7 linked regions of the Rattus norvegicus genome follow. The protein of the gene in region 1 interacts with the protein of each later gene in a pairwise test. Links are inferred from orthologs where the notes say so. Each region holds a gene or a part of one and is shown in the gene's direction. Other genes may lie near its edges. The genes, in order: Prkab2, Bend5, Pias2, Cdx4, Pygm, Dao and Banp.

Evidence for each region.
Region 2: the proteins of Prkab2 (region 1) and Bend5 interact in binary tests that used the Homo sapiens proteins (3 or more experiments, as listed by UniProt). The link is inferred for Rattus norvegicus from reciprocal best matches to the Homo sapiens genes PRKAB2 and BEND5.
Region 3: the proteins of Prkab2 (region 1) and Pias2 interact in binary tests that used the Homo sapiens proteins (3 or more experiments, as listed by UniProt). The link is inferred for Rattus norvegicus from reciprocal best matches to the Homo sapiens genes PRKAB2 and PIAS2.
Region 4: the proteins of Prkab2 (region 1) and Cdx4 interact in binary tests that used the Homo sapiens proteins (3 or more experiments, as listed by UniProt). The link is inferred for Rattus norvegicus from reciprocal best matches to the Homo sapiens genes PRKAB2 and CDX4.
Region 5: the proteins of Prkab2 (region 1) and Pygm interact in binary tests that used the Homo sapiens proteins (3 or more experiments, as listed by UniProt). The link is inferred for Rattus norvegicus from reciprocal best matches to the Homo sapiens genes PRKAB2 and PYGM.
Region 6: the proteins of Prkab2 (region 1) and Dao interact in binary tests that used the Homo sapiens proteins (3 or more experiments, as listed by UniProt). The link is inferred for Rattus norvegicus from reciprocal best matches to the Homo sapiens genes PRKAB2 and DAO.
Region 7: the proteins of Prkab2 (region 1) and Banp interact in binary tests that used the Homo sapiens proteins (3 or more experiments, as listed by UniProt). The link is inferred for Rattus norvegicus from reciprocal best matches to the Homo sapiens genes PRKAB2 and BANP.

What each region holds. Positions count from the first base shown.
Region 1 is NC_086020.1:187,944,418-187,948,901, forward strand, and holds the start of Prkab2 (5'-AMP-activated protein kinase subunit beta-2), read left to right. Parts: upstream 1-1,591; 5' UTR 1,592-1,747; exon of another isoform or gene 1,748-1,837; intron 1,838-1,965; 5' UTR 1,966-1,990; coding exon 1,991-2,143; intron 2,144-4,484. UniProt on the Homo sapiens protein: Non-catalytic subunit of AMP-activated protein kinase (AMPK), an energy sensor protein kinase that plays a key role in regulating cellular energy metabolism.
Region 2 is NC_086023.1:131,550,128-131,554,064, forward strand, and holds part of Bend5 (BEN domain-containing protein 5), read left to right. Parts: intron 1-2,291; coding exon 2,292-2,440; intron 2,441-3,937. UniProt on the Homo sapiens protein: Acts as a transcriptional repressor.
Region 3 is NC_086036.1:72,957,138-72,961,074, forward strand, and holds part of Pias2 (E3 SUMO-protein ligase PIAS2), read left to right. Parts: intron 1-1,907; coding exon 1,908-2,068; intron 2,069-2,395; coding exon 2,396-2,529; intron 2,530-3,937. UniProt on the Homo sapiens protein: Functions as an E3-type small ubiquitin-like modifier (SUMO) ligase, stabilizing the interaction between UBE2I and the substrate, and as a SUMO-tethering factor.
Region 4 is NC_086039.1:72,391,368-72,395,856, forward strand, and holds the start of Cdx4 (homeobox protein CDX-4), read left to right. Parts: upstream 1-1,285; 5' UTR 1,286-1,455; coding exon 1,456-1,969; intron 1,970-4,489.
Region 5 is NC_086019.1:213,132,377-213,135,472, forward strand, and holds the end of Pygm (glycogen phosphorylase, muscle form), read left to right. Parts: intron 1-1,365; coding exon 1,366-1,500; intron 1,501-1,654; coding exon 1,655-1,721; intron 1,722-1,831; coding exon 1,832-1,981; 3' UTR 1,982-2,246; downstream 2,247-3,096. UniProt on the Homo sapiens protein: Allosteric enzyme that catalyzes the rate-limiting step in glycogen catabolism, the phosphorolytic cleavage of glycogen to produce glucose-1-phosphate, and plays a central role in maintaining cellular and organismal glucose homeostasis.
Region 6 is NC_086030.1:48,270,260-48,274,817, reverse strand, and holds the start of Dao (D-amino-acid oxidase), read left to right. Parts: upstream 1-1,517; 5' UTR 1,518-1,604; intron 1,605-2,392; exon of another isoform or gene 2,393-2,456; intron 2,457-4,558. UniProt on the Homo sapiens protein: Catalyzes the oxidative deamination of D-amino acids with broad substrate specificity. Required to catabolize D-amino acids synthesized endogenously, of gastrointestinal bacterial origin or obtained from the diet, and to use these as nutrients.
Region 7 is NC_086037.1:66,950,780-66,954,716, forward strand, and holds part of Banp (protein BANP), read left to right. Parts: intron 1-990; coding exon 991-1,107; intron 1,108-2,567; coding exon 2,568-2,743; intron 2,744-3,937. UniProt on the Homo sapiens protein: Controls V(D)J recombination during T-cell development by repressing T-cell receptor (TCR) beta enhancer function. Binds to scaffold/matrix attachment region beta (S/MARbeta), an ATC-rich DNA sequence located upstream of the TCR beta enhancer.

The sequences.
Region 1 (4,484 bases):
ATAAAAAAAATGTCTGGAAGACATCTTTTATGAGATGATTTGATAGCTGCACATTTCCTTTTTTTTTCTTTTTTCTTTTCTCTGGGAGGGGAGGTGGTGGATGAGACAGGGTCTCGCTATGTAGCCCTGGCTGTCCTGAAACTTGTTCTGTAGAGCAGGCTGGCCTTGAACTCACAGAGATCTGCCTGCCTCTGCAGGGGTTAAAGACATGCGTCACCATGCCCAGCTTAGTTCCCTTTTTTATTCCAGTGCTTTTAGCTAACTCCTGGTCCAAAGTGGCTGCTAGAGGTCTAGCCATTCTATGGGCGTCCTATACACAAAGAAAAGAAATGGAGAAATTCTACATAACATTCTACCTATCTACCGATTAGGGAGGCTAAGAAATGCATCTCGGTGGAGACAGACAATATCCTAAGGTTAGAGTCAATGCTTTAGTAAGCAGGAAGGGAGTCAATGTTAAGGTAGACCTCCAACTCTCTTTGCTATCTCACTGTTCCTTTTTATTATTTAGTTTTCAAAAATTTTAATCTGTATTTGAGTGTTTTGCCTGCATGTTTGTATGTGCACGGGAAGGTGTTGGATCCCCTGGAACAGATGGTTGTGAGCCACCTTGTGGGTGCTGGGAACCAGACCCGTGTCCTGTAAAAGCAACGTGTGCTCTTAACCACGGCGGCATCTCACTAGGCTCCCCTATAACCTTCTTAACTCTAATGGCTTTATGGTCTGCCTCATCTCATCAATCTACACCCTTGATCGGATCTAAGATACTGCCAATGCTAATGACTTCAGGAGCACTGAAACCTCAGTGGCAAACACGATACTCTCAGAGGATACCTCTCTCACTGTCTCAGCTCACCCAGCTTCTCCTGTATCCAGAGTCCTTTGACCCCACTGGGCCCTCCACCAGCCTATTTTGTCTTCACTTCTAGCCGACTGGTTTCAAATCAATACTCCCTCAATATTTTCCCAGACTACCCTGTGCTCTCAATTCCCCTTTTGACTCCTTGACTAAACTTCACTCTTTCGCTGTATGCAAGCATCCCCGCAGCTAATCACAGTAAGAGAACAAACACCACTTTGATGAGCTGGGTACCACATAGAAGTAAGCCTTATGCCAGTACCTGCCATCACGTGTCTCGTCAATTCTCTGTCCCATTCTTTATTTCATACCTCCTGGAACAACTAAAAAGAGGTTGCTTTGTAGAGGTCTACGCGGAGTATGAAAACCACTCGAATGTGGATCCGCTATGCACCGCTGTCAAGTTGTTTGATAAAGTACAGGTTCTAATTCTGCACCTAGGGCACGGAGAGGCCTCGGTTTCGGCTTTTCTAATAAGCGCGTGTGCCACGGATAGACAAAATGCTTAGGAAGGCAAGGCGCGCCCAGCTATCACAACCTAGGCGGGTCGTTCCCAGCCCCAACCCCGACCCCACCCTCCGCTCCGCCCCAAGCCGGAGCTGCGCACGCACCCACCACAGAGGTGGCCTAAGTGCTGGTGGCTAGAGAGGCAGGCGACCGAGGCTGAGGAGGGGGCGGGGCTGGAGCGCAGGGGGTGGAACAAGAGGCCTTGTGGGCGGGGCCAGAGGCAGAGGCGGTACCGCGTCGCCGGCCTTGTAGCCATTTTAGGAGGAAACCCGGTTCGCTGGCTTGGGGCGCGGCTTCAATTTCAATAACTTTATTGGTCTCCTTGTACGCCGAACAGCCGGCGTGCGTGTAGCCACGCGAGCCCGGAGCGCATCGCCAGAGGTGAGCGGCGTGGGGGTGTGCGGGACCCGGGCTGTGGGGCAGCGAGGGCTCCTGGAGCCGGTTCTCCGAGCTTAGGCGTCCGTGAAGCGGGTAAGGGAGGGGACCCCGGGCGCGGTCTCCTGCGGCGGGGATTCCCTTCCCGGGCGCAGGGGCGGGGCCGGGGCGCTCCTGACGCGGCCGCGGGGGTGTTCCCCGCCTGGTGTCATTCCCCGCGGCAGGTTGCCCCGGACTCGAGCTGCAGCCATGGGAAACACCACCAGTGAGCGGGTGTCCGGGGAGCGCCACGGTGCCAAGGCTGCTCGAGCTGAGGGTGGCGGCCATGGCCCCGGCAAGGAGCACAAGATCATGGTGGGAAGCACCGACGACCCCAGCGTCTTCAGCCTGCCGGACTCCAAGGTGAGGTAGCGGGGCTGCGGGCTGCTCCGCCCTTCTTGGTTCTTCCTCATTCTCAAGGGTTATGGGCTTTTAAATTAGAAGGCTAGTGCGCGGACAGAAATGTTGGGTGCTAATTCCTGGTAGGTACTACCTCAAATTAGGATAGAGGCGCGGAGTTGTTTTCCTGCTGCTTTGAGTAATCTGTGGGCCAGCCTTTTAGGACGGGTACCAAAGACCCATCCCCTGCCCGCCCCATCCTTGGTTGTACGTGCAGGTTGCCCTGTTCTAGAGCTTGCAGGAAGAATAGGTAGTGAGCGCGGGTGGAAACTTCGAAGGGTGCATTGTCTGAGCTCTTGATACGAGCTCAGTTTCTCAATTGCCCTCAAGATAGCTAGATGGTTTCTTCTCCCTGAAAATGTCTCAGTGTAGATCTCGTTCTTGCTCTCTCGTAAGTGCTCTGCATCCCTCCTCCATCCTCGTTCACCGTTGTGTGGCTGAGCAGCCATCACTTGATTATTTGAATACTTTCCCCTAGTCTTGGGAATCAGTACAGGACATCATTTGGTTAATGGCTCAGTTTTTTTAAAAAAGGAAAAAACAGTGCCGTTTTAAAATGTAGCTGAGCGTTTTGCACACCTTGCTGCACTTCCCTGGAGAGCAACTTACTTCCCTTCACTCCTCAGAAGTACTTCAAAATGTTCCCGAGGCTCAAAACCACCCTCTCATGCCCTGAAGACTTTTGCTCTCAATTCCACAGACTTTCAGCCAGAGGCCACTTTTGGTCACCCAAAAGAAGAGCCAGACGGAGCTGACAGCAGTGTGATTACTACTCTAATGTTCCTAATTACTTTTAGAAATGTCAGCGTTAAATACATTTAATTTCTCCTGGTCGGCTCTCTGAAGTGAAAAAGAAAAGCCTTCGGGTGGTTTTTGGGTGGGGTGGTGGGGTGTGTTTGACATTTCTCACCCCAGTGAACTGAGACTTAAGATAGTAAACAAGAGTTTTATTTACCGCTTTGATGGCACATGAATGTTGGATTATATACCATATTTTCTTCGATCCTGATTTAGAACGCCATTTCTTGGGGTTCCCTCTTCCCTGTTTCCTCTCCTCTAGGATTCCTCATTATCTGGGCCCTGCACTCAGCCTAGATTTTCTTCTCCGAAGCTTGTCCAGGGTGACAGACAGGCCGTGTATTTTTGCTCGTTCCTACATTGATGACTCAGGATTTGGGTACAGTCAAACTGTGACTGCAGTAATTGGTGTCCTGAATAAGAGCCAGGCTGCTCTGTGTGCGTTTAGGCCTGTTCTGGATCATTCTTTCCCTCACATCTTGCTGTGAGATGAGAAAAGTAGTTCAAACAATTACCCATGTCTTACCCAGACAGAAAACTTCATAGCCCATGTACTCTCCCTCTCCACACTAAATTTCCTTAAACATTTGCAGGCCGTAATTTGAATTGCTGGTTTGCTGCTGTTCTGATGGTTTCGCTGAGGGTTTAACTCCAGTAAACAGTTTTTCTGCTAGTCAGCTGCAGTCACTCCTACCACAGAAATGTCATGTCATAAGTGGAAGGGCTTTGCTCCAAAGCCAGGCATATTAATAGTTTGGAGTTTTCAAATCCTAAACTGAAAATCCTTAAGTCATAAAAGTAATTGATAAGAATAGTAGGGTTGGGGGCATCTTTGTTTCAAAGGTCAGGCTTATTAATAGTCTTACTCAGTGCTCCTCAGTCCTATTTGTATGACCGGATCCCCCAAGAATGCTTTAAAAACCTTATGGGAAATCTGACACACTTATAAAATGAACAGTGAAATGAACTACGTATATGTCACCCGTTTTAAATGGTGCTAAAAGGTCATTAAATGACTGTGCCTCTGTGATCCAAGCCATTCCCCTACCAACCACTCTGAAACAGATTTCAAACAGGTCAACAAGTAGTATTTCTAACATTTTAGGACGTACCTCAAAAGGTGACTGTTTAAAGCTGACATGATGGTGCCTCACAGCTGTGATCTCAGCTGTTTCAGAGCGGGAGGAGGATCACTGCCAGTCTGGACCACAGTGAGAACTTGACCCCCTAGAGAAAAATAAGAAATGCTTCTCCTTGTTTATTGTAACGTGATAAGAGTGCTGTTACCTGAAGGCTTTTTAAAAAAATATATTCACAAAATCCTTTGCGGGACTCAGACTTGAGGGTTGTTTTGAGGCTTATGGAAACATTCCCAATGCAACTGTCAGCCCCAGTGCATTGCTCTGAGATTACAGAGGCCAAAGTTTTGTCTCAATCCAGTCCCTTGAATAATGTAAAAGTCCCTTCCTTTTCCTTTTCCATTTGCTTTGGTTTGTAGTTGTACTGT
Region 2 (3,937 bases), on another chromosome or scaffold:
GCATCAGGGACTTCAGAATCTTTGCCCACACTTATCAGAGACTTATCCCCTTCCAGCCATCTGAGCCCTTTGATGTCATAGAGAATTTATTAAGAGCTTGCCATGTGCCAGGTACCCCAGGCTGTCCGGGTACAGCATGAGTGAGACTGCCCCTGAAGAGCATCAGTGTAATATTGAAAACAGGTAGGGGTGGCTGGGTGCCACACAGCTTGCAGGTTATAATACAGAGACTACTACCTAGAAACAAGGCATCAGAAGGAAGCTACCTGGCTGGGAACCAGAGAGACAGACAGAAAGACAGAGACCTAGGACAACAGGACAGACAAGGAAACAATCTGAATTCTAGATATAGAGAGAGGCTGGTTGTTCTGGGCCTTCATGGACTGTGGTGGGGATGGTAAGCAAGGAGGAACAAGGTCATGGTCATGTGGAAGTTACTTTGGAGGCCATCGAGCCATTGTAGTTCTTGTTTGAGACAAGGTCTTATGTGGTTCAGGCTGATCTACAACTTGCTATCCAGAGGCTAACTTTGAATACCTGACCCTCCCAAGCATGAGTGCTGAGATTAGGGCCATAAGCCTTTGTTTAACAGTCTTTTCTCTTAGAAGGAAAATGAGGTTTCAAAAATTTTGTAAAGATGATCTATGAGCGGTGGATAAATGACCTTCTCAGCCATTTCTCTTTTCTGTCACTGAACATCAGAGTAGGACGAGAAAGCACGTGCCTGAACCCATCTTTACGGGAAGGCAGAGTACATTTTCCCCACCTGAGGAAAGACCAGATGATTTACTTATTCACGTGTTGAGAATTCACACCTGCAGACGGGACACTTCAGCATCTGCTTGTTCTGGAGACTCTGGCTGCAGTCTTTGTCATGATCCTTTCTTCTTCAGCAAAGGTTTAGAGAACACCTACCAGGTTTTATGCACAAGGAGAAAGATAAAGAGCTTGGCCTGGACCTTGCATAGGGCACACATAGGAGATGCTGTCAGAAAGATAAGGATGCTGCTGTCTGTGCTCCACTCAACCATCTTCTCCATCTGCAGCTCACACACTCGAAGTCACACAACAATAACAGAGCGGAGCCAGGCATGGGGCCCAGTCTGTATAATGATGTACAATGTATGTAATTTCACCTGCCTTTCTGACTACCATCCATTCTGTGGTCAGCTTTGTGCCAAGCTCATGCTTAAATCTTTGGAGAATACAGAGGGTCTCTCTTGCAGTCAGCAACTGCTAGCTACCAGCAGCTCAGAGATGATACTCTCATTCTGGAAAGCCCCGTCATAAGGACTTGTACCAACAAACTCACATTTGATGGCATTCCCGCCATCAGCCAAAATCTAGGTTACGGCAGCTGAGCACAGAGTCGCAAGGATTCAGTAGATAAAGAGCGTGGATCCCAGTTGTCCATTCAGCCAGGATAAGAAGTCTCACCCCAATTTCATCCATGCTTAAGCTAAACGCACAGCACACAGCGCCTTTGATTTTAGTCAAGGCCAGGATGTGAAACTATAGACTTTTGAAGTTGTTCTCTCGAAGACAAGTTAATCGAGTCATTTGGCCTTATTTACTCATTTTCTCTGTTCCTTGGTAATCAAGACACAATAGATGATTAAAAAAGAAAAAGAAAATCTGTCATTTTAAAAGCTAGTAGAGAAAAAGGCACCCTAGAAACAAAACAGCAACCGTTTCCCCAGCCTCCTTTCACTATTTAAATCTCACGTAATTTGTGTTGATTGCATTAAAATAAAAAGTGAGTGATCGCTGTATCTGGCAATCAGCAGCTTGCCCTGTGTTGTATTTTAATTTCTTGGTTGGAATGCCCTTGCTTAGACCCCAGGTCCCAGGAAGGGGGATCCTAGCCACCCCCGCCCCTGCCCCCGCCCTCAATAGCTTTCCTCATTTCCCTCAGTCCACATGACCCTCTCTCCACAGGGTCCAGAGATGAGTTTGTTGGCAAGCCCACAATTTGCATATTCTAGTTAACTGCTATCCTTTCTCCAGCAGTCTGAACTGACCCTAGTTCCTATGCAGGAAGCTGAGTCTCCTGCCATTTTGCATAGACACTGACACCCTAGAAGGTGTCCCTTAATCATCCTTAATTACTAAGGCCTAGTAAAATTCTTGCCTCACAGTGCATTGGAGTCTGGGTTTAAGTGTAGCATAAAGAACAAAAGTAAGCTAGCTTTTTCTCTAGTGCCACTATATGCTGATAGATGCATAGTTAAGAATATTTGCCTTTTATTTTCCTTGGAGTTCTAGACAGATCTCTTTTCTTAACTGCCTAGGTCCCGCCATTGACTTGGAAAAAGTAAAGTCAGAATGTCTCGAGCCCGAGCCGGAGTTACGGAGCACTTTCAGTGAGGAAGCAAACACGTCGTCCTATTACCCCGCTCCTGCGCCTGTCATGGACAAGTATATCCTAGACAATGGCAAGGTAGTGTTTTCAGCTCAATATCCATTCCTCCAGGTGCTTGCTAGTCAGGGAAAAGGTGGAGGGCACAGTGGGGGCTTTGTGAAACCCCACATGGCTAGCCATCCTCCCAGCCTAGTCCCTGGTGACTGTGGAATTTACTGCATAGTAACATAGGTTTCCTGGGACTTCTCCTTGTTCCCCTTTTTAAAAAAATGTTGAGTCAAAATAACTGAAACTAACCTGGCATTTTAAAATAACGTATTTATAAGAAAGACTTTTTTAAAAAAATAATTCCTTTGATAGTTTGATATTCTCCCTCACTTCCTATGAAATCAGATGCCTAGAGTGCACAAGGCTAACTCAGTGAATTACTCATTTAGAGATAGCAACTCAGTGTATGCCCATTCACCATTTACAAAGTAGACGTTCCCAGCTCTCAGCTCTGTCCTGGGGACAGAGGGGTAAATGAGCCATACTCCTTGTCTCCAACTCACTGGCCTACAACTCCAGGGATACACATCACTCCTCACAGTTTCTCTAATGACTCCTGAAAACAGATCATGAATGAACACATAAGCCCTGGTGGTAAGGAGAAGTCTGTCAGAGCCCTGTGTCCAGGAAGCATCCAGCTTTAGTGTTAGACTCTCTGCCACCACCACACACATTTCAGACTCGCCTCTCCTTGGTACCTGAGTACCCCGTGCTTTGGGTGGTCTCCCTAATGAAAAGGACAGATTCTCCGACTTCCTTTGTTTAGATACATCCCCACAATTCTCTGGCCTGAACCTAAGAAAGTATTGTCTAGGTGAGGAAAAGAAACGTGTTTATCTCTAGGGCTGTCTTGGATGTGCTACTGTACTCTGCATTGCTCACTGAGTGCCTCCTTCTCTGCAGGGCCAGGACTTGATGAGGCAGGGTATAGGCCTTGTCTTTGCTCATGCATCAGGCTTTCCCCGTAAGCTTTGCAGAGGAGTGGAGGTTGGAAGCCTGTGGAATTCTCTAGCACAGCTCTACTTCTGTACTTCCTGTGTGAGGTCAGGCCGATTCTTGGCCTTCCTGGTTCTCTGAGTCCTTATCTATAAGGAGCTGACTGGATGGATGCTTTCCACAGGCCGTTTTGGAGTAGAAGTGTCTAAGTTTGGTAAACCTCCCAGATTGAAGCTAGAACCGCAGAGGCGTTTTGGGTCTCTTGAATTCCTTTTAGTCAGGACCACATTGTAGGGTGATTGTAGAATTTTTCTTAAGTAGTTTCCAAGAGAAATCTGTTTCTCTCTTGCTTTGAAGGCTGCCAGGCAGCTTCTGAGTTCTGCTACAAAAGTAGCATTCTTTCCCAAGAAAATAGGTCTCAGAAACCTTATTTAATGTTAGACACACATGGTAAGCAAAGCCTCTTTTGCTTTCCCGACTCACTGCTCTAAACCTCACCCAGCTTTTCTTTGAGACTAATTTGTAGTCAGGCAAGGGACTATGACAGGGAGGAGAGGAAGCAGACTCTGGGAATACATGGGGACTCTTCAG
Region 3 (3,937 bases), on another chromosome or scaffold:
AGCACTGTTCACACGTGTACCACCACCACAACAGGGTTGGTTGGTTTCAACCTCTCCACCACATGTTGTTTGCTTACCCTCAAGTATCTTTTTTTTTTTTTTTTTCCGTAGCTGGGGACCGAACCCAGGGCCTTGCGCTAAATCCCCAACCCACCCCTCAAGTATCTTAATATTATTATTAGTAGTTATACTTTTTCTTATTTTACTTTCTGTAGACATTTTGTTGAGTGAGTTAGTGTAAGTTATTCAACTTATTTTAATGGCTTGTTTCCACACACTTACAGTGTAAAGGAGCAAACTCATTTATCCTGATGTAAAATTCCTGAATTGAATATTACTATGTCAGTATGGTTTAAATCTTAGAATATAGGATCCTTCAATGAAGGAAAAATACAGAAATGCTTAAAGATACACATTGCATTTTCTGTTGACTTGGAGTTAAATTTTGTAAATGGCCACTAACTTTTTTTCTTCTTCTTTTTTTCGGAGCTGGGGACCGAACCCAGGGCCTTGCGCTTGCTAGGCAAGCGCTCTACCGCTGAGCTAAATCCCCAACCCTGATCACTAACTTTTAAGAACCCTTTCTGCATCCCTTGTTTTATCTTTGCCCCCTTTTTAGTCCATGAACACTGAGGACAGGCTATAAGCTGGTATTGAGCTAGCTAGCATTGGTGGTGATGGTGGTGGGTCCCAGGATTAGACACTGATACTGCCATTGTGGATATAAATAGCAATATTTCCTATAAGTGACATACACAGGGAGGTTTTAAGAACTATGAAAAGAGGGCTGGAGAAATGGCTCAGTGGTTAAGAGCACTGACTGCTTTTCCAGAGGTCCTGAGTTCAAATCCCAGCAACCACATGGTGGCTCACAACCATCTCTAATGAAATCTGATGCCCTCTTCTGGTGTGTCTGAAGACAGCTACTTATATATAATATATATATTTATATATAATAAATAAATCTTAAAAAAAAAGAATTATGAAAAGAAATGACCTGGTCTAATGTGGGTATGGGTGTCAGTAGGTCTCTTCTTTAATAATTATGCATAACAATATATATATAACTATATAAAAACATACTAGAATTTGACAGATTTGATTATATAATAAAACGTTTTCATGAATATTTTGTTTATATCCCATACAAGGCTCTTTTTTTAATATAAAGAACTCTTATAAATAAGTTTAGTGACTGAAAAATGATTAAGGGTATGTGTAGAGAGTTCGTAGAGACACAAATTAACTATAAAGTAGAAGAACAGAGCTTCAAGTTTCTCTGAAAATGAAAGAAATGTATTTAAGAACTGCCTTGAAATATTTCTCACCAACCAGATTGGAAAAAAGCAAACATTCATTAACCGCAGGGATAATGGTGGAGTTGGAATATAGCACATTAGCACATTAAGTACACAAATTACAGATCAATAGACTTCTCTGGTTAAGGGAGTTTATCAGTGTTCAAAGACCATAAATATTTCCCTTCGACTTCTCCAAAATTTCATTTTGAGGTACTTATTTAGTAACATTGTAATGGTGCAAGATTGGAAGTAATGTAATTACCTGTTATCAGTGCACGAATGATAAACCATGATGTCTTTGTATCATAGTAGTTTTTAAAACATTTACTTTTTAAATGTGCGTGTGTGTGTGTGCGTGTGTGTGTGTGTGTGTGTGTGTGTATCTGCCTTTGTACTTAGACATTACTGAAGTGAAACGATGTTTCAAAACTTGAAACCACCCATAAATAAAAAGATAAACAGTCTTCATGAGAGTAAATTTAGGCTGAAGCTTTTTATTTTGAACATCTTGTTTGACTTGTTAAGACTCTAATGAGCATCTCTTTTCTCCTGTAGGCTATCTTGTCCTATTTGAACTCATTTCCTGTTGTATTCTCTGTTCTGCAGTTAGGAAAAATGAGGCTGACAATCCCGTGCCGCGCAGTGACGTGTACACATCTGCAGTGCTTTGATGCTGCCCTGTATCTTCAGATGAATGAGAAGAAGCCCACCTGGATTTGTCCTGTTTGTGACAAAAAGGCTGCCTATGAGAGTCTGATACTAGATGGGTAAGTGTAACCCCGGGCAAGTAGTTAGACAAAGAAATAGAATAAGTGGAGGAAAACTAACAGACCACCTGCTGATATGAGGTGGGCCACAGTTTTTAAGTCATCACGCAGGAGACAGAGGCAGGTAGATCTGAGTTTAAGTCTAGTTTTATATATATATATAAGGCCCTGGGTTCGGTCCCCAGCTCCGAAAAAAAAAAAGCACCCAAAAAAAAAAAAAAAAGATTTAATCATTGAGGTTCCGATGTTCTTACGTCTAACACCGTTGCCTTTTCTTGGGTGTATACTGCTTTCTTGTTTCATCTTTGACATTTATGTACTTTACAGGCTTTTTATGGAAATTCTCAATGACTGTTCTGATGTGGATGAGATCAAATTCCAGGAAGATGGTTCCTGGTGCCCCATGAGACCTAAGAAAGAAGCTATGAAAGTAACCAGCCAGCCCTGTACAAAAGTAGAAAGTATGTACTGAATGTCAGGAGCACTCAGAGAAGTGCACATTATGAAGTACAAACTCTTAACTTAACCACAAGGAGCATATTCAGAATTTAGTTTGCTAACTTTAGGCCATCTCTCCTTCCTTGTTTTCTTAAGGAATGTGCAAATCTATACCATCCTTCAAACTTTTAAATGGTGTTTCATGTACAAAACGAGTAAGTAAGTAAATATAGATAGCATGAAGATAGCCTGGAGCTCAGATCCTGAGTTACCCGTAAAGGCTGGGGCCCTGGGTGGCCTTTGTGTCATCCTGGTGCTCTAGAGGCAGACAGGGATCCCAGGGGCACACTGTTCTCTACCGGTGGGTGCTGACCCCCTTGAGTGTGGAATGACCTTTTCACAGTGGTTGGCTAAGATCATTGGGAAACACAGATACATATAGTACAAATCATAGTACAATTTTAGTTAGGAAATAGCAACAAAAGTAATTTTATGTTTGCGGGTTACCATAACATGAAGAATTGAATTAAAAGTGTCCCAGCAGTAAGAAGGTTGAGAACCACTAAACTAGACTTAAGTAATGAAGTCGGTTCAGCGAGACCTTTAAGTGGTGAGCAGTTGAGAAAGATGCTTGCTACTAACCTGTCCTTCACAAGCATGCCCACATCTGTGCAGACATATATGCATGTATGTGTACTATGTAAACACACTTGAGAAACGGAAAGAGTAGTAATTGTTTTGTATATCTTTATACAGCCCAGTTTGGTTGGAGAGACTGTATATCATTTATTAATACGTGTGGAGACTGGTCATGAATTAGCTGTTACTGAGTGGATTCTTCCATTCGTTGGTGGAGGGATTCTGTAGCTTTAGTTTCCCAGTGTGTGTATTTGCTTTTGGCTCCTCGCTCTTATCTACTCTTAGGGACATGCTAAAGGAGTCTGATAAGTTGAAATCCATGTGCACATGCAACCTCTGGACTCCTTTCATTTGACTTTCTTCCGGCTCTGTTGAATTTCAAAAAAGCAATAACAGATTTTCTGAGTAAGAAGGGTAAATAAAGACTTTCCAGAATGTTATTTATTCTTTTGTGATCGTCACAGAACTCTTAGGGGTCACATTGCCAGGGTTGCCCACATTGGTGTAAAAAGTGTGGGCAGGTATGGTTTTATTGATTAATGTTTGATGATTTTTCCCCAATGAAATAGCATTCATTTTTGATAGATTATAGAGAGCAATATCACATAATATGGTAAATGCGTTGCTTATATAAATAGAATGAGTGATGACTAACGATTCATGATAATAACTTAGTTTACCAGTTTGGGGCTTTTATATGATCACTGCAGTTGAAATGTCTGATTCTAACTCAGTGGTGCTGTATATTTTAATACCGAAACCACATGCTCTGGAGAATAGATGTCTCTGACT
Region 4 (4,489 bases), on another chromosome or scaffold:
ATAAGCAAGAGAAGGCGTGTAAGGAAGGGTCTGCAGAGAAAGAATACAGAGAACGCAGCTTAGAGCAGGGGCCCCAGGCCAAGAAAGGTGGAAAGGAAAGAAGGCTGCTGGTGTTAAGAAGTCTTTGCAGGAAAAACTGCAACTACCAATAACCTAGTAATTGAAAACAATAAACAACCAGGAAAAAAAGTCTACCAGAGGGAATGGCATATCTGAGCAGACTGCACAAAGTGTTAAAATCTGTAGTATGTCAGAAAGGTCAAATAATTGGTGACAACTTGTTTGAATAAAGACCTGATCAAGAATGTTATCAATAATGTATTCAATGAATGAGTGAATGTGTTCAGCAGTCAAGCTGGTTCCATGCTTCATCTTGTGAAGCCTGCTTTGTAATGTAGATTCAGCTGGAGCCTCTATCTTTAAACGGGTGTCCCGGATATAGGTGGTAGAGTGCTTACCTAGACCATACTTTTGGAATGGAATGGCAAGTCTGCCGTAGCTGCATGGATTTCAAACTACAAGAGTTCCTCCTGTCCTTCAGGGCATTGACTTTGAAGCAGAGAGATGTAAATTAATACATTAATATGAAGTTCAGAGAATGCACTATCCACTTGCTTCCTCTCCCCTTTTCATGGCCTATGTGCTTCTTATTCTCTAATGTATGCATAGTTGTTAGGCATCCAATTAACTCAGCCTCCCATCTAACTGGAATATAACTTTAAGAAACTAGGAATACATGTCAGTGCTGTTTCCCCGGTGCCTACAATTCCTGACACACTGTGGACACTGAATATACATTTGTGAAACAAATCTGCCTATAGAAACAAAGCCCTCTCCTTGAGGAGTGTGTGGGAGAAGGGAAAATCCTTTACAGTGGCATGATGGGCCAGTGCCAACTGGAAAATCCATACCAGGAGAGTATGAGCAGAGAGAGAGAGAGAAACCAGGACAGCAAGCTGGGCTCTGGAAAATCGTGAAAGGAAGACCTCAGTGAAAGGAAGCAAGACTGCGCATCTCAGTCTCATTTTGAAGAAGCCGATGAGAAATTTCTTGAGGAACAACCGCCTCCAAAAGCGCAAAAGTGCTGCTAAGAAAGCAGAAGAATCCCGGAAGCGGCACAGAGGGGCTGGGAGCTAGGGGAGAAGGTGCTTGGAGTGAACAAGTTCCCATAGACGTTAAATGGCCCTTCATTTGAATGCAAATGCTATGTAAAAGCTTGAAGCCCCTTGACGTCATCCCAGGCTTTCGTAGCCCTCCTATGGCCCACTACCAGTCACCTGGAAATTTAGGGTAGGATAGGAAGGTTGGAGTAGTCCGAGCCGCCCAGAGGAGCTGGCAGCACAGCGAGTGCTGACCCATTCATTGATAGCCTCTTGCATCTCAAACTCGGGTTGGCGCTAAGTTTACAGGGTCCTCAGGATGGCTTAGGGGGCAACTTCTTCTATCCAAGCCACCATGTATGGAAGCTGCCTTTTAGAAAAAGAAGCGGGAATGTACCCAGGCACTCTCAGGAACCCTGGAGGAGGCAGCACAGCCGGAGTGGGCACCTCTGGGGGCAGTGGTAGTCCTCTGCCTGCCTCCAACTTTACTGCAGCCCCAGTTTACCCACACTACATGGGGTATCCACATATGTCCAACATGGATCCTCACGGGCCTTCGCTGGGAGCCTGGAGCTCACCCTACAGTCCGCCCCGGGAAGACTGGAGTACATACCCTGGGCCGTCCAGCACAATGGGCACAGTGCCCATGAACGACATGACCTCGAGCTCCCCAGCTTTCGGCTCCCCAGACTACAGCACTCTGGGCCCCACTGGCGGTGCAGGCGGTGCAAGCAACGGCGGTAGCCTGCCAGACGCGGCCAGCGAGTCACTGGTTTCCATCGACTCAGGCACCTCTGGCGGCGCCACTTCTCCCAGCAGGAGCCGCCACAGCCCCTACGCGTGGATGCGCAAGACTGTGCAGGTGACCGGTGAGTAATCCATCGTTCCACTGTCTCTTCTCTTCTCTACTCTTGGTCCGCCTGCCCTCTTACTCTTCACTCTGCGTCCCGCAGAAGAGTTCAGCTAGGCAGCCCACGGGGCAACTGGCTGGCGGGATAAGTAATTTCCTCCTTTGTGCCTAGGTTCAAAGCTGGTTAAAAGCAGCGCTTGGAACTAAACCTTTCCTGGGGGTTTGTTGAGGTGGGCTTTTTTATTTGGTTATTTGGTTGTTTGGTTGATTAGGTTTGGTTCGGTTCGGTTTGGTTTGGTTTTTACCCTTCCCAGATAAGTCAAGGGAGTGAGGGCATGAACAGTGTTCCCGATGAACCACAAGGATCGGGATCCAATCCTGTCGTTGTCCGGAGGGAAAAACAGAAACACGTGTGATGAACGGGGTGAGAAGACAGTTAAGGTTGTCCCGGTGCTTGCCGGTTTTATGTCCAAATCGTCCCCTATCCTATTATGCAGCCTCGCTGAAAACTGGTGATGCTCAACTTAATAGGTGCTTAGCTGGCAAACGACGCCCCAGCCTATGAAGGCTTCCACGGCAAAACGGCCTCTTTACAAGACGCCCAAGGAAACTACAGCTTCCGTCGACCAAATTAGCACTGTCTTGAATAAAGCCTAACGCCTTTTTCCAATGTCCTACCCACTGAAGGAAGCGTTACAGCACTGAGCTGTCATTTCATAGGACACTATCCTTACACCCACCGTATTATTCACACCCCCCTCCAAGTGCCTAAAGCCCTCATCGCTAATTCAGCAGGTGGCCACAGATGCAGAAGCAGAATGCAAGTCTGCGACAGCGACAACACACAAGAAGCCATAAGGATCCCGTTTAAGGTCTAATGGCACTGACCAGCAAGCCCTGGTGGGCAGGCAACCGCTGGGGGGGTGTGCGGAGAGCTTCGAGGAAATGAGGACTCCACTATAATCTTGGACTAGGAGACGGTGACATGTTCGTTTTCAGCTGTGGTTGTTCTCCTAGCATTTTCTTATTCCAATACTTGATCCCTGTCATTAGAGAAAATTAGTGACATTTCCCTCTGGAGAGGCAATGATATTTCAATAGTATTTGTCCATGATGATATATACTCTTCACAACCCTTTGTTGTCCCTTCTCGCTCCTCCAAGAAGCAAAGGTGAAAGGGTTAGGGGGTACCATTTCCTACTGTTAGGAAACTTTTCAGCCACAAGGAGGATGTTCCAGGTCTAACTAGGGTACAGATCCCAAGTTAAAAGTAATCCTTAAGAACTTATATTAAAAAGAGGATATGGGTGAGTCATGTAACTTTAAAGACAAATGAGGCGAGGGTAGGGCATTCCTCCCCAGAGCTGTTCTTACATCTAATCTTCAGGGTAAAACTAACATCCATTCACCAAAACCTAAGAATAAGCAAAATACACATTTTTAAAAGGACATCAAAGAGCTACTGTCTAGGATTTTTCTTTGAAATACTGTGGGGAGGGGATGTCGCTAGCTTGGTTTTCAAAATGGAAAACTGTGAGGGAAAGAACACAGTAAGAAAATACGGTTGTGATGAATTGTCTTTGTGTTGCTGAGGGAAACATGACAGCTTTCTCTGTTTTGCTTTAAGAGGAAAGAGAGAGAGAGGGGGGGGGAGATCTCAGAGCCTCTTTGGGTAATTCTGATGCCAAGAGAAGTTGAGAAGGATCCCCATAGTCTGTGTGCCTTCATCTCTTCAGTGCTTAGGAGAAGTTTAAAACTGAGAATGATGTTACAGCTCCTTGGACTCTTGGCAACTTGTCCTATAGACAAAGTTTTACTAACATTGACATTTGTTTCATTTGAATTCCTCGTAAGTTAACACCACCCTTTTGCATGTTCTTGTAGGCTCAAGTTGCTATTTGTTGACAATTTGAGATGATGGTTGTGCATGAGAGCACCCCGCGCTACACACATAAGTGATGCTTTGCATAAGTTCTGGAGATTCTAGTCTCACTGAGTATCTTTCATAATACAGGGCCATAAACTTCACAAAAATAAATGCCATCACCCCGGGACACTCCGAATCAAAGTGTACCCCTTTATATGCTTAGCAAGGGAGCAGGTGTTAAACGTCTGTTAAGTGAATAGACAAGTTAGATCTTCCTAAGCTTTCTGTTCACCTTGTACCATCATTGCACATCAACCTATGGTTTAGGGCTGAGAGAGAAAAAAATCTATGGACAACAGACTGGACGTAGCTCTTCCCTGAATTAAGGCAATCCCATGAGAGCTTTTTTTTTTCCATTAATGAAGATAATTGAAACAGACTTAAGTTAAAATGTGTGTGTATGTGTGATATGTGTGAGTGTGTGTGTATGTGTGTGTTGCACTCCTTACAGCTATGATTTCTAAAGCAAGGAGATTGACATGTAGAATAAATCACTGCCTTCCAGATAATCTGATTTAAAAGGCTTTTATTTATTTTTATTTGGACATAGTTTTCTTTCTTTTTTCTTTTCTTTTTGGTTTTTTTTTTTTTTTTTTTTTGGTCCTTTGTGCA
Region 5 (3,096 bases), on another chromosome or scaffold:
CCAGCCCAAAGGTATGGTTTTTAAGAAGAGGTGAGGGTGAGTTTGGGATATATACTAGAAGGTAAATAGTTGTGGACCAAAAAGTTCTTGGGCCAGGCATATGGCTCAGGAGATAAGAGTGCTTGTGGTACAAGTCTGATGACCTGAACTCACGCAGAAGCATAGCACAAGTGTGTGAAATCCCAACAAGCTGGGAAAGGGAGGCACAGATGTGAGGCGGAGACTCAGAGGCTGGCAGGCTGGCTGACCTGTCTTACACAGTATCAGAGACCCTGTCTCAGAAACAAGAAAGAAAGGTAGGGAAGAGCCTCTGAAACTTGTCCTTCCTGGCGAGGCATGCTCACGCCCCCACACAGAGACAAAAATGTGAGAGTTCCTAAGTCTCTGGCACAGAGTTTCAAATGCTTCTGGAAGGTTGGTACCAGTTTACACTTCCACCAACAGCTTCAGAGAGCTGGCTGGCATTTACCGCTGAAAGAGCTTTTTCCTAGAAATTTCAGACTTTGAATGGGGCATGGTGGTGCCCACCTTTAACTCTGGAGGCAGAGGCAGGCGAAACTCTGTGAGTCTGAAGCCATCCTGATCTACATGGAGAGTTCTAGGCCAGACAGGGCAATGTGGTAAGACCTTGCCTCAGAAAAAAAAGAAGGAAAGGAAAACAGACAAATAAAAGAAACCTCAGATTTTGTTTTCCTGGGCCCTAAGGTGCATTGAATGAGATCTGGGATGTTCAAGACCAGAGTCCAATCTGGTCAATCTGACTGCAGAGGACAGGGTAGTGTGTGAGTGTGGAGACTGCACAGGCAAGGAAAGTCACAAAGCAGGGCAGTGCAGGGGTTGGATGGATGCTACCTTGAAAGTAAAGCGGGCACCAGCCTGTAATGAGCTCGTTCTCATTGTGGGAGTTTAGAGGCCACACCCGAGGATTCGCCTGTGAGGTGGGTTTGGGACAGTGGAAAAAGCTGCATGGAGGGTTTTGTTTTGTTTTGTGGTGGAGCTGGGGATGGAAGCCAGGGCCCTTCGCATACCAGGCAGGCACTCCGCCTGACTTCTAAGCACTTGGAAGATGGGTCCTTTCTTCGGAGTCTTGAGAACCAAGATTTTGTGTTTCCTTTGTTTTGAAATTAGGGGTGTATGTTTGTGTGTATGTATGTGCACTGAGCCATCTCCCCAGCCCTGGATTCGTCTTTTGTCTTCTCTGAGCCTGAGTGTTTCTAACTACGAAGTGGGTGGAGAGAAGCTAACGTGGAGAGAAGCTAACGTGGATTGGAGCTGGGGAGGCCCTGTGCCTCAGGTCTTCCCAGCTTTTCTCCGGGAGGCTGGGGACCCCTTTGCAGGGAGCTGACCACAGACATGCTCTGGCAGGTACAATGCCCAGGAATACTACGACCGGATTCCTGAGCTTCGGCAGATCATCGAACAGTTAAGCAGTGGCTTCTTCTCCCCTAAACAGCCTGACCTGTTCAAGGACATCGTCAACATGCTCATGCACCATGACCGGTGAGCTGGCTGACTAGGCTGCATGGAGGCTCGTGGATGAGCAGGGCTTGGGTGGATGGGGAAGCTGGCTGGGGTTGTGGCTTCATTCACTCCTGCTGCGCCAAGGACTTGGCCTTTGACCTCACAGAGCTCTGGTCTCTCCTTTCTCCTCCAGGTTTAAAGTCTTTGCAGATTATGAGGAATACATTAAATGCCAGGACAAAGTCAGTGAGTTGTACAAGGTGAGGGGTCATCGGCCGGGAGCTGGCAGGGTTTGCCCCTGGCTGGGAATGAGGGAGAGGGGGCCAGCCTGCTGGTAGAACGAACCTAGAGATTCCCTTGCTGTCTACAGAACCCAAGAGAGTGGACACGGATGGTGATCAGGAACATAGCCACCTCTGGCAAGTTTTCCAGTGACCGTACCATTGCCCAGTATGCCCGGGAGATCTGGGGTGTTGAACCTTCTCGTCAGCGCCTGCCAGCCCCAGATGAGAAGATCTGAGCTTCCACACCAGACCCCATACCTGCCTTTGAGTCTGTTTGCAATTCCCGGAATCAGGCCCACTCCAGGGGTTGGGCCCCTGGAATTACATCTCTACCCTCCCCCTTTTGGAAGCCTCTTTTACCAGTCTCTAGGTCCTGATGCCAGTGTGACTAAAGACCCTGCCCTCTTCTTTTCCCTCAACTCCCTACCCCCTTTATTTATGTATGGGGTCTAACCAAGTGCACCCACTCCCCAATAAATCGACTCTCCATGACCTTCCTTACTCTTCTCTCTGTTGCAAAATATTTTTAGCTCTTGGAGAGCTTTACAGCTGCTGCGCAATCATCTCCTTACCGCCCCCCCCCCTCCACACACCGCAGCAGGTGCATCCTCTGTGGGGAGAAAGGGGAGGCCCATAGCTGGTGTCTGGGACTTAGTCCCTTTTCCGGTGTCGCCCTCCACGCCTCTCTTCCCAGCGCTCTGTCCATACTAGGTCAGCGGCCAGCTTAGTTGGTCGGGGGCGGGGCGTCCGTCTGGGTGGAGCCCACCGGGTCCGGGAGTCGGTCGGTACTTGGGCCAGATCCTTCCTGACTACGGAGCTTCCACGCTATCTGGGGAGGGTCCAGAGGAGGCTTGGCGCCTTCTTGGCTCCTCCCCTAGCACCGCCCCACTGCGGCGTTTTAGGGTCTCTTAGCAGGTGGCTAAAATAAATTCAAAACCAGGCGAGTGTTAGGGCTTAGGGCGTTCGCAGACCGTTCAGGCGAGAACAGTGGTATATTCCCGGTTCCGGAGAAACTGAGGTCTATAAGGTTCCTCTTCTGAGCCTCACATAACCAGGATTGAAGTGCAGAGGACTGCTTCCCTCGCCCAAGACAAGGAGGGGCAATCTTCGGAAGGGGTTTTGGGGCCCTGGGTTTCACAGTGAGTCTAAACGGCCGGAAACTCTTACCTATCCCTAGGCTAGCTTGTGAGGGACCCCAACTGCTTGTGGCTGCCCCTCCCAAGTTCCTCCTCGCCTGGGCCCATGCTTCCAAGGCTTCCAGTTCTGAAATTGCAAAGCACCTACCCAATTGTAGATGCCCCTTTCTCTCCTGCCCAGTGGGGTGTCCCTCGCCCCATCTCTACATCGAGCC
Region 6 (4,558 bases), on another chromosome or scaffold:
ACAAAAGTAGTCGGTCGCCCCCATAACGTCTGTGCCATTGTTACCCTGCTGAGCACGTCTCACCTGGCAGGTTGGCATTGTAGGATGCAGGGCCATTCCATTGCTATCTTTTCTTGTCCACCGGCCTGCATGGTGCCTTTCAGCACTGTGAGCACGACCCTCCAGGGAGCGAGTTTTAGGTAAATTTCAACCTCGCTGCTCTGTGTCCTGTCTCCAAAGTGTGTTGTGTCTTAGCCATCGGTCTTACCGTTTAGTTCTGGTGGGTAAGTCAAGAGCAATGGTAGGTAGACTCCTGGGCCAATAACTGGTAAAGGGGGTATCCCACAACGACTTGCACTGAAATTTTCATACAATAACCCATCTGTGTAGGGTTCATATCAAAAAACAATAAGTTTTTTTTTTTTTTGGTTCTTTTTTTCAGAGCTGGGGACCGAACCCAGGGCCTTGCGCTTCCTAGGTAAGTGCTCTACCACTGAGCTAAATCCCCAGCCCCCAACAATAAGTTTTTAAGAAAAACCTGTGTAATCTATAACATGGCGAGCAGAAGGACGCTGCAGGGAGGCTTTTATGTATTCAATTAATGGTAGAAACTCTAAAGGGGAAAAATGCAGATTAAAAATAATTTTGAGGGCTGGAGAGATGGCTCAGCAGTTAAGAGCACTGACTGCTCTTCCAGAGGTCCTGAGTTTAATTCCCAGCACCACATGGTGGCTCACAGACATCTGTGATGAGATCTGGCGCCCTCTTCTGGCCTGCAGGCATACATTCAGGGAGAAAGCTGTATGGTGTATTAATAATAATAATAATAATAATAATAATAATAATAATAATAATAATAGAAAAGGCTATGGCTGTCCCTCAGAGTCACAGTGCCTGCCTAGTGTGCTTGTGGCCCTGGGCTCTCTCCCCTGTTACACGTGCTTCCTTCATTGTGGTGGATGTTGCTGAGGTAGAAGACTACACCATCACAGTATTCTCCTCTGTTCAGCAGATGTGTTTTGGTCTCACCGTGTCCCAGTTAGAGGTCTAGCCTTGGCAGAAGAAGGACCTGGAGTCCTGCTGCTTTCGTCTCTGGGATACTGAAGCAAAGACTACACATCCTCCCAGCCCAGGCAGGCGTCCCTTCTCAGCCTCATCTGTCTAGCGTCCCAGAACAGCAGTGAGCTAGCTGGCTGGCCGGGAAGGGCCTGTCCTCTGCCTTTGGCCCACAGTGGCCCAGGGAATGGTCCTCCCCTCTGCTGGGGTGCAGCAATGGGGGGGGAGGCTCATCTCCAGCTGGCTTGGGCCTTAGAAACCCCTCCTTCCCCCACCCCCCAGGCCTCTTCGCAGGGGCTTGGGATCAGCCAGAAAAGTCAGGCAGCTCACTAGAGGGAGGAAACAGAAGGTCCCGTGGCCAGACTGAGTCCTGCTCCTGGAGAAGTGCAGTGCCCAGCCCCACCCCTTGCCCTGTGCCCCCTCCACTGCCGAAGACTTTGACCTGGCGTTCCAGTCCTAGCTGGTGGGCAGAGGGCTGAAGTCAACGCAGCCCAGAATCAGGAGCAATCCTGCTGGAGACAGGTTCCTGCACCCCCAGGCCATTTTTCTCTAGACACTTGGCACCAGCGGTAAGTAAAGGGGACAGAAACAACATAGTGTCTTCCCCAGTGTCCTCTCCATGCCAACAATCCGGGCTCAACATCAGCGACTGAGATTGGTGACCCCAAAAAAGGACAGACTTGGGGAAATGTCCCCCTGAGAGATGACACTGTACCCCTGTACCCCTAGGGGTACAGTGTAGTCAGAAGGGGATGGCAGGTTCAGAACCTTACCTCTCCAAGCCTCAGTTTTCCCCTCTGGAACACGGCATTTTTGAACAAAGTTTTTTTCATTATGCTATTGATCGGTTTGGTATGGGGTTGGGGATGGGGGCAGGAATTCACACTCACGCTCTTCAGGTAGAGGTCAAAGGGCAGCTTTTGGGACTGCATTCACCCTTCCCACCACGGGGGTCTCAGGAATTGAATTCAGCTGGTCAGGCTCGGTGGCAGGCACCTCTAGCAGCTGAGTCATCTTGAAGTCTCTGAATGTGGGGACCTTGACTCACGGGGTGAATTTGAGGCTCAGAAGACAGAGGGATAGAAAACGCCTGGCGCCCAGCTAATAAACACTCCCTAAATGGTCTTTATCGCTGTGCTGGGGAGGGGGGCTTGATTATCAGCACAACTGCTGCCCCAATTAAATGATAACCTGGGAATGCACGAGAAGGTTCAGCCACATGGTCCTGGCAGGACCGGCTTGTGCTCGTCTCCGTGCCTCCTCGTTACGGCTGTTTGGCTTCGCTAGTCCTTCGTGTTCTCCATTAAGTGTACGTGACAGTCAGAGGTATGAGCTGCCTCCTCCGGTTGCTTTCCAGAGAGACAAAGAGAGAAGCCAGTGCCATCTGACTGCTGCCCTGAGATACATTCGGGCTGAATCGGGTGAGACCTGGCGTCCCATAGGATGATATAGAGACCATCTCCTAGAGGACGTGTTGTGTTGTCTCCATTGCATTTTGTGTCCTAGTGATGGTAGAGTCCAATAGGCTTTATAATCTGTCTGTCTGTCTGTCTGTCTGTCTGTCTGTCTGTCTGTCTGTTTCCCTCTCTGATGAATGCCATACCTTCGCCAGCTCATCTTCCAGGACACACACTCCAAGCACGGTTGATTAAAATGAGTGGCCATGAAGCAGAATTGCACCTCTAACGTAAAACTGTCAGCAACCACGAGGAAATGGTTGACTTAATAACAGAGCTATGCACAGACTGGCTCAGACGTTCATTGGTGTATGTATGCATGATCTTACCTGAGGCTAGACTGAGGCTTCTGTGGTCTAGCTCCTGCTTCTGATGAGGACCACATACATGCCTTCGTACCGTACTTTAACAATAGCTACTCTTGTCAGGGTCAAATGCAGGGTTCAGAGTCTTTCCTCTACAATCCTGTTCCCACTGGCACTCCCACAAATGGTGGGTTTTAGACTTTGGAACTGCAGGGCTCCCAAACATAGGCCATTTGTCTTCCGCTGCCTCATCCTCGGTTTTTCAAATCATGTGACTCATGTGAACACAGGGCATCATAGTCCGGTTAGCCTGGGCTCTGCTCTTCTCAAACAGGTTGTCTTGGGTCTCAGCCTCAGTTACCTCCACTGAAAATGGGTACATCTCCTCTAGGGTTGTTACAAAGATCTCGATAGGTTATGTGTTGACAGTTCACACAGAGACACACAGACACACACACACACACACACACACACACACAAAGACCCATATACACAGAGGGACACACACAAACACACATACAGATATATAGATATACACGTAGGCATGCCCACAGAGACAGTCACACATACAGGCACACACACAGACACATGCACACATGCACACACGCGCACACACACATGCGAGCGCGCGCGCACACGCACACACACACACACACACGGGCTGGAACCCACACAGCTGCAGCCCTCCCCTCACAGAGACGATTCTTTCCCACCACCCCTGGGAAATGATCCTTTCCTCACGGTCGTGACTCAGGGATAGTCTCTCCCCTTTCCTTGGTTTTCTATCCACACAGGGATGTCTAGTTCCTCCTTAGAGTTCTGCATAGTGGGGAAAACTGGGACCTGTGAGGCACGCGCCTCTCACCATCCCTTGGAAGCCATTATCAGAGCCAGACTTCCGATCAGTCTGGGTTTGTCCTCCCAAGGCCATGCTTTGGTTCAAAGTTTCTTCTTTGCCTTTTTTTTTTCCCTCTTAAGGCAGGAAGTTACTATGTAACCTCTGGTCTTGAACATGCAATCCTCCTGACTCAGCCTTTCCAGTGCTAGGAACACAAGTGTGCACCACCAGACCTGCCTCATGGGTCCTCCCCCTCTCCCTCCACTTCAACCCTTATCTTTTTGAGACATGTAATTGCTATGAAGCCCAGTCTGACCTGGAACTTGTAGCTTCTTCTTGCCTCAGCGTCCTGACTTCTCAGATTACAGATGTCTTCCCCTATCTAGACCCCTGACACCCCATCAGCCCTCTCCCCTGCCCCTCACCTGTCCTTTCCTGGGTCTCTCAGTGGTGCAGGCATCAGTATAGGTTCTCTCTCCAGCCCCTATCTTGACCTCGAGTTGAAGCCGCTGTCTGGGTGACTCATCGCCTCACCTGTAAACTGCAGTTGTGTTTGAGTTCCCAAGCACCCAAGAGTTTCCTAAGATGTCCCCTCTTGGTGTGTGCATCCACTGTCTGTCCCAGGCTGGGGCGAGGAGAACAATGGGCAAGAGGCATTCTCTCACAGAGTGTGCTGAGGTAGGGAGACAAGGGGGTTAGCCAGCCTGCAAGTGTGCAGACAGAGGACAGGCTCCATTCACACAGAGCAGCTCCCCTGGCTTCCCTGAACTCTCTTGGCTCAAACACTGAAAATGTGCATCACAGGAGGGAGCACCCTAACCCTGGGCAGACTGGGAGCTGCTCTCTCTTACCCAGAGGAGTCCAATGACTCGGCCAGGCTCACACACTCAGTATGTCAGAGGTAGGCTAAGCTGTGCGTGTCT
Region 7 (3,937 bases), on another chromosome or scaffold:
GCCCTGGCTCCTCACAGCAGTCCATACTTTAGACAACTCTGTGCCAAGAAGTGCTCTGACTTGACCCGAGGGTTGCAGTGAAGGAGTCCCTTGAGAGCTGCTGCTGGTCCTTACTCAGTCTCACCCTAATGCTGCCCCCAGGGTGTTTCTGAGCCTGGCGGTTCTTGGGCCATGGTCTGTTCTCTCCTAGAATTTCTCCTCAAACCCAGGCCCCAAGACCTTTTGTTTCGGTTCTGTGCTCCTCAGAGGGCTGCGGGTGGTGTGTGAGCATGTTTCCCGCTGCTGCCCGTGGGTTGGTTGGCTGCCCAACTCTAGAGGTCAGATGTGGAGTGACGTGAGGAAGGCAGCTGCGAGACCAACCTGCCGGATCAGAGTTTTGGAGGGATGCGTTGGAAAGAGGCTGGGGAGCTGGTTCAGTGGGTAAGCTCATGCTTCTGCAAGCTTGAAGATGTGAGTTTAAGTCCTTAACATGCATGGAAAAATCCAGGCCATATCTTGTAGGCTCAGCACTGGGGACTTGGGACAGGGAGATCCCAGGCTGACTTAGCAGCCTAGCTGAGTGGACTAGGTTTCTATTCAGTGGTAGACCCTGTTTGAAAAGAGTAAGGCAGAGAGCAGTGGAAGAAAACTCCCAGTACCTGCTCTGCACTCCGCACACAGCTCACATGTATGCGGTGCACATAGGTGCCCTGCGCACACACATCACACATACACACACACACACGGGGAAATGAAGAGGAACCTGTTTTCATGAAACCTGTTGCTGAGATGGCTCGCGGATGCACAGCCCACCCTGCCCACATTTGTGTCAACCAAGAATACCAACCAGCAGGAAGCTGGAGAGCCTTGTCTCCAGTTTAGTTGTTCTGCACTGGACCCCATTCTCTGGTGTTGGCCCAGGAGCTGACCGTGTTGAATGATTCATGTGCTCTGACAATGACTGTTGTTGTTTTAAGGTCTTCTTTTTCTTGTGATTCTTTTGTTTCATAGCGTCGTCCCCCAGACTACAGTAATACTCAACAATGATCGGCAGAACGCCATTGTAGCCAAGATGGAAGACCCATTGAGCAACAGGGCACCGGATTCCCTGGAAAATATCATTAGCAAGTCAGTAGCCATCACCACCCACCTTCCCTGCCACTGTCCTGAGGCTAAGTGAGCGTTCCTGAGCCAGGGTCAGTCTGAGCACATGTCCATGTCTGCAGTCATAGGGCCCATTCTGTTAGCAACCACCATAGCTTTTAGGTCAGGAAGGGCCAACTTGGTGCTTAGCAATGGTGGGGTGAGACAGTGCAAGGGTGGGCAGCCGTGAGGACCGCTGGGCTGGATCTGGTATGTGAAGAGGCTAGATATGGCCTGTGGTCCGCTGAGCACTCCCATCTGTCTGTCCTGCAGTTGAGCCTCTTCTGAGTCTGGTAAATGACACACTTGTGTTGACGTTGTGACTTTTTCCTCATCCCTGTCTTTTGAGATGTGTTGAATGGACCTTCCGTCAGTCAGAAATGAAAGGGCACAGCAGCCATGCCCTGCGGGGCCTCTGCCCCTGGCTCTGGCTCTGTGCCTCAGGAAAGCTTGGTCACCTTTTGATTACCAGCAGTGTTCTCACAGATTCCTGCCTTCCTTTTTTTCTCTGTGGGGTGTGACTCCTTCCAGCTTTGTCTGGCTTCTTGTCCTGGCCCAGGTCTCTAGGAAACTGGAGGCCTGGGGTTGCTGTGACTGTGCTGAGTGGGGTGCTGGAGGCCTGCCACTCTGTTGGGGAGAGGACGCGCCTCCTGGCCCACTCTGAGGTCGTGGGTGTGGAGTGTCGAGGAGCCAGTTCACTGTGGGTAGCTCAGAGGGGTCAAGTTCAGGAAGGACCTCCTGCCTCTGGGGATGACCAGAGTTTTAAGGCCCCTTTGACTTTGCTGATGGGAACTTGGGCTTTGTTTCCTCTGTGGTGTGTAGGAGGCCATGGTCCAAAACGTTGACAGAATCATTCAGAAAACAAATCAATCTTGGGTCTTTTTTGAGCACTTTCTGCTGCTAGCTGTTTGGCTGCTGCTTTACTTCAGGGCCCTGCACCAAGAATGGCTCCCAGAGGACTCCTGACATTCTTGATGGCCTTGGAAGTTGCTTCTAGGGTTTTGTCTGTGGGAGTCAGAGGGAGTGTGGAGGTGTTTTGGAGGCCGAGTCATCTTGGGTGTCTGACAGCATGGATGATGGATGGATGGGGACTCTGATACACGGTGACCATTGTGCATGTGAGGATGGCCTCTAAGGTCTGAAAGCCAGATTCTAGGCTGAGTCTCAGTGAGTTATGGTTTTATTTCTTTTGTGCTGTTCATTTTTACGCAGTTGCTTTATATTCTTCGTCTTCTTGGTCTCAGGCTGTTGGTGTGCTATGTTGCTGCTCATCTCCATGGAGGGTGTGTGTGGGGACATACCGCATGTTGGGGACCCACCTTGTGCATTGGTCCATGCTCAGCTAGACAATGGGATAAGTCTACATAACAGTGGGAGTCAGGGCTATCTCAGTGTACCACTCATGTCCTCTCACAGCCTGGGCTGCTGTGTTTGTTTCCCGCCAGCGCTGTTCCTGGGCGTCGGCAGAATACCATCGTGGTGAAGGTGCCTGGTCAGGACGACAGTCACAATGAAGATGGAGAGAGTGGATCAGAGGCCAGTGACTCCGTGTCTAACTGCGGCCAGCCAGGAAGTCAGAACATTGGAAGCAACGTCACACTTATCACCCTGAACTCTGAAGGTGCGTTCGCCATAGTTGCACCTTTGTGCTCTTCTTTTGGAAGGGGCTGTGCTTGCTGTTGATAAGAAATGACACAGTGACAAAAAAGTTTAAGCAGCTGAAGTCCTACCGTGACTGCCAGCACCTGTGCCTCTCTCCTGTGACCATGCCTTTTTCGTGTTACTGACATGTCTGCTGTGGAGATGCCTTCTTGGATGCTCTGCTTCCTGAGGAGGAAGAGCTTCCATAAGCACGAACCAGTCACCTCTGCTCACAGTCCCTGGCATTCCTCTGTTGGTTGCCAGGCTTAGGGAGTACAGTCTCCTTGGGCTGGGCTGAGATCTGCAAGTAGCCAGGGAGAGCAAGTGTGGGGTCTGCCTTCCCTAGACTCCTCCCATGATTTCTTGGGGGCCCCCATGGGGTAGGGGCAGGCTCTTCCCTGAAAAGTCTGAAGTACCTCCTTGCTTCTAACTGACAGTAATGTTGAGAGAAAGGAAGGAAGGAACTCTGACAGACTAAGCTCTGTGTGCAAATCCTACCCATCGACTTTGTTTACCTGTGAGCCTTGGGAGGCTTTTGTTTCCTTATCTAAATGATTGGTTTTTCCTATAAGCACAAAATTTTGCTCTTAGGTATGTGCTGTATCTGAAATACTAGAAATAATGTCTGACTAAATTGCAGTGTTGGGGTCGAAGCTCGCTACCACACACTTGATGGTACACGTCACAGCGCACATTCTAGCGCTTGCTAAGGCTTAGGTTGTTGTTCCCAAAGCTCGTGTGCTCAGAGCGTGACCACAGCCCTGCCTCTGGGGTGGCCTAGGAGAGGAGTGGGCCACAGAGGTGGGTCCTAAAGAGGAGTGGGTGGGATCTAGCCCCCGTGTGGCCCTTCCTTTTGTGTCTTAGCTCCCATGGAGTAGGGAGCAGCCTCCGCTGCCACAGTCTTCCTCCATGATGGTGGCCACAGGACCAGTGACCATGGACTGAATCCTCTGAAAGCTCTTCTCATTAGAAACTGTTTTGTCACAGTGAGAGGCAGGTTTAGTTTATCTACAAGTTTATCCCCTGTCACCTTTGTCTGAATCTAGAATTTTTTTTATTATTTTTTTTTAATCACCCCTTCTAAGAAACCTCAGCCCAGTTAGTCACTCCCCACCCTCTCAGCCAGCCCTGTAGTTGCTGATCCTCTTGTGAAGGAGAATCCTCGAGTACTTAA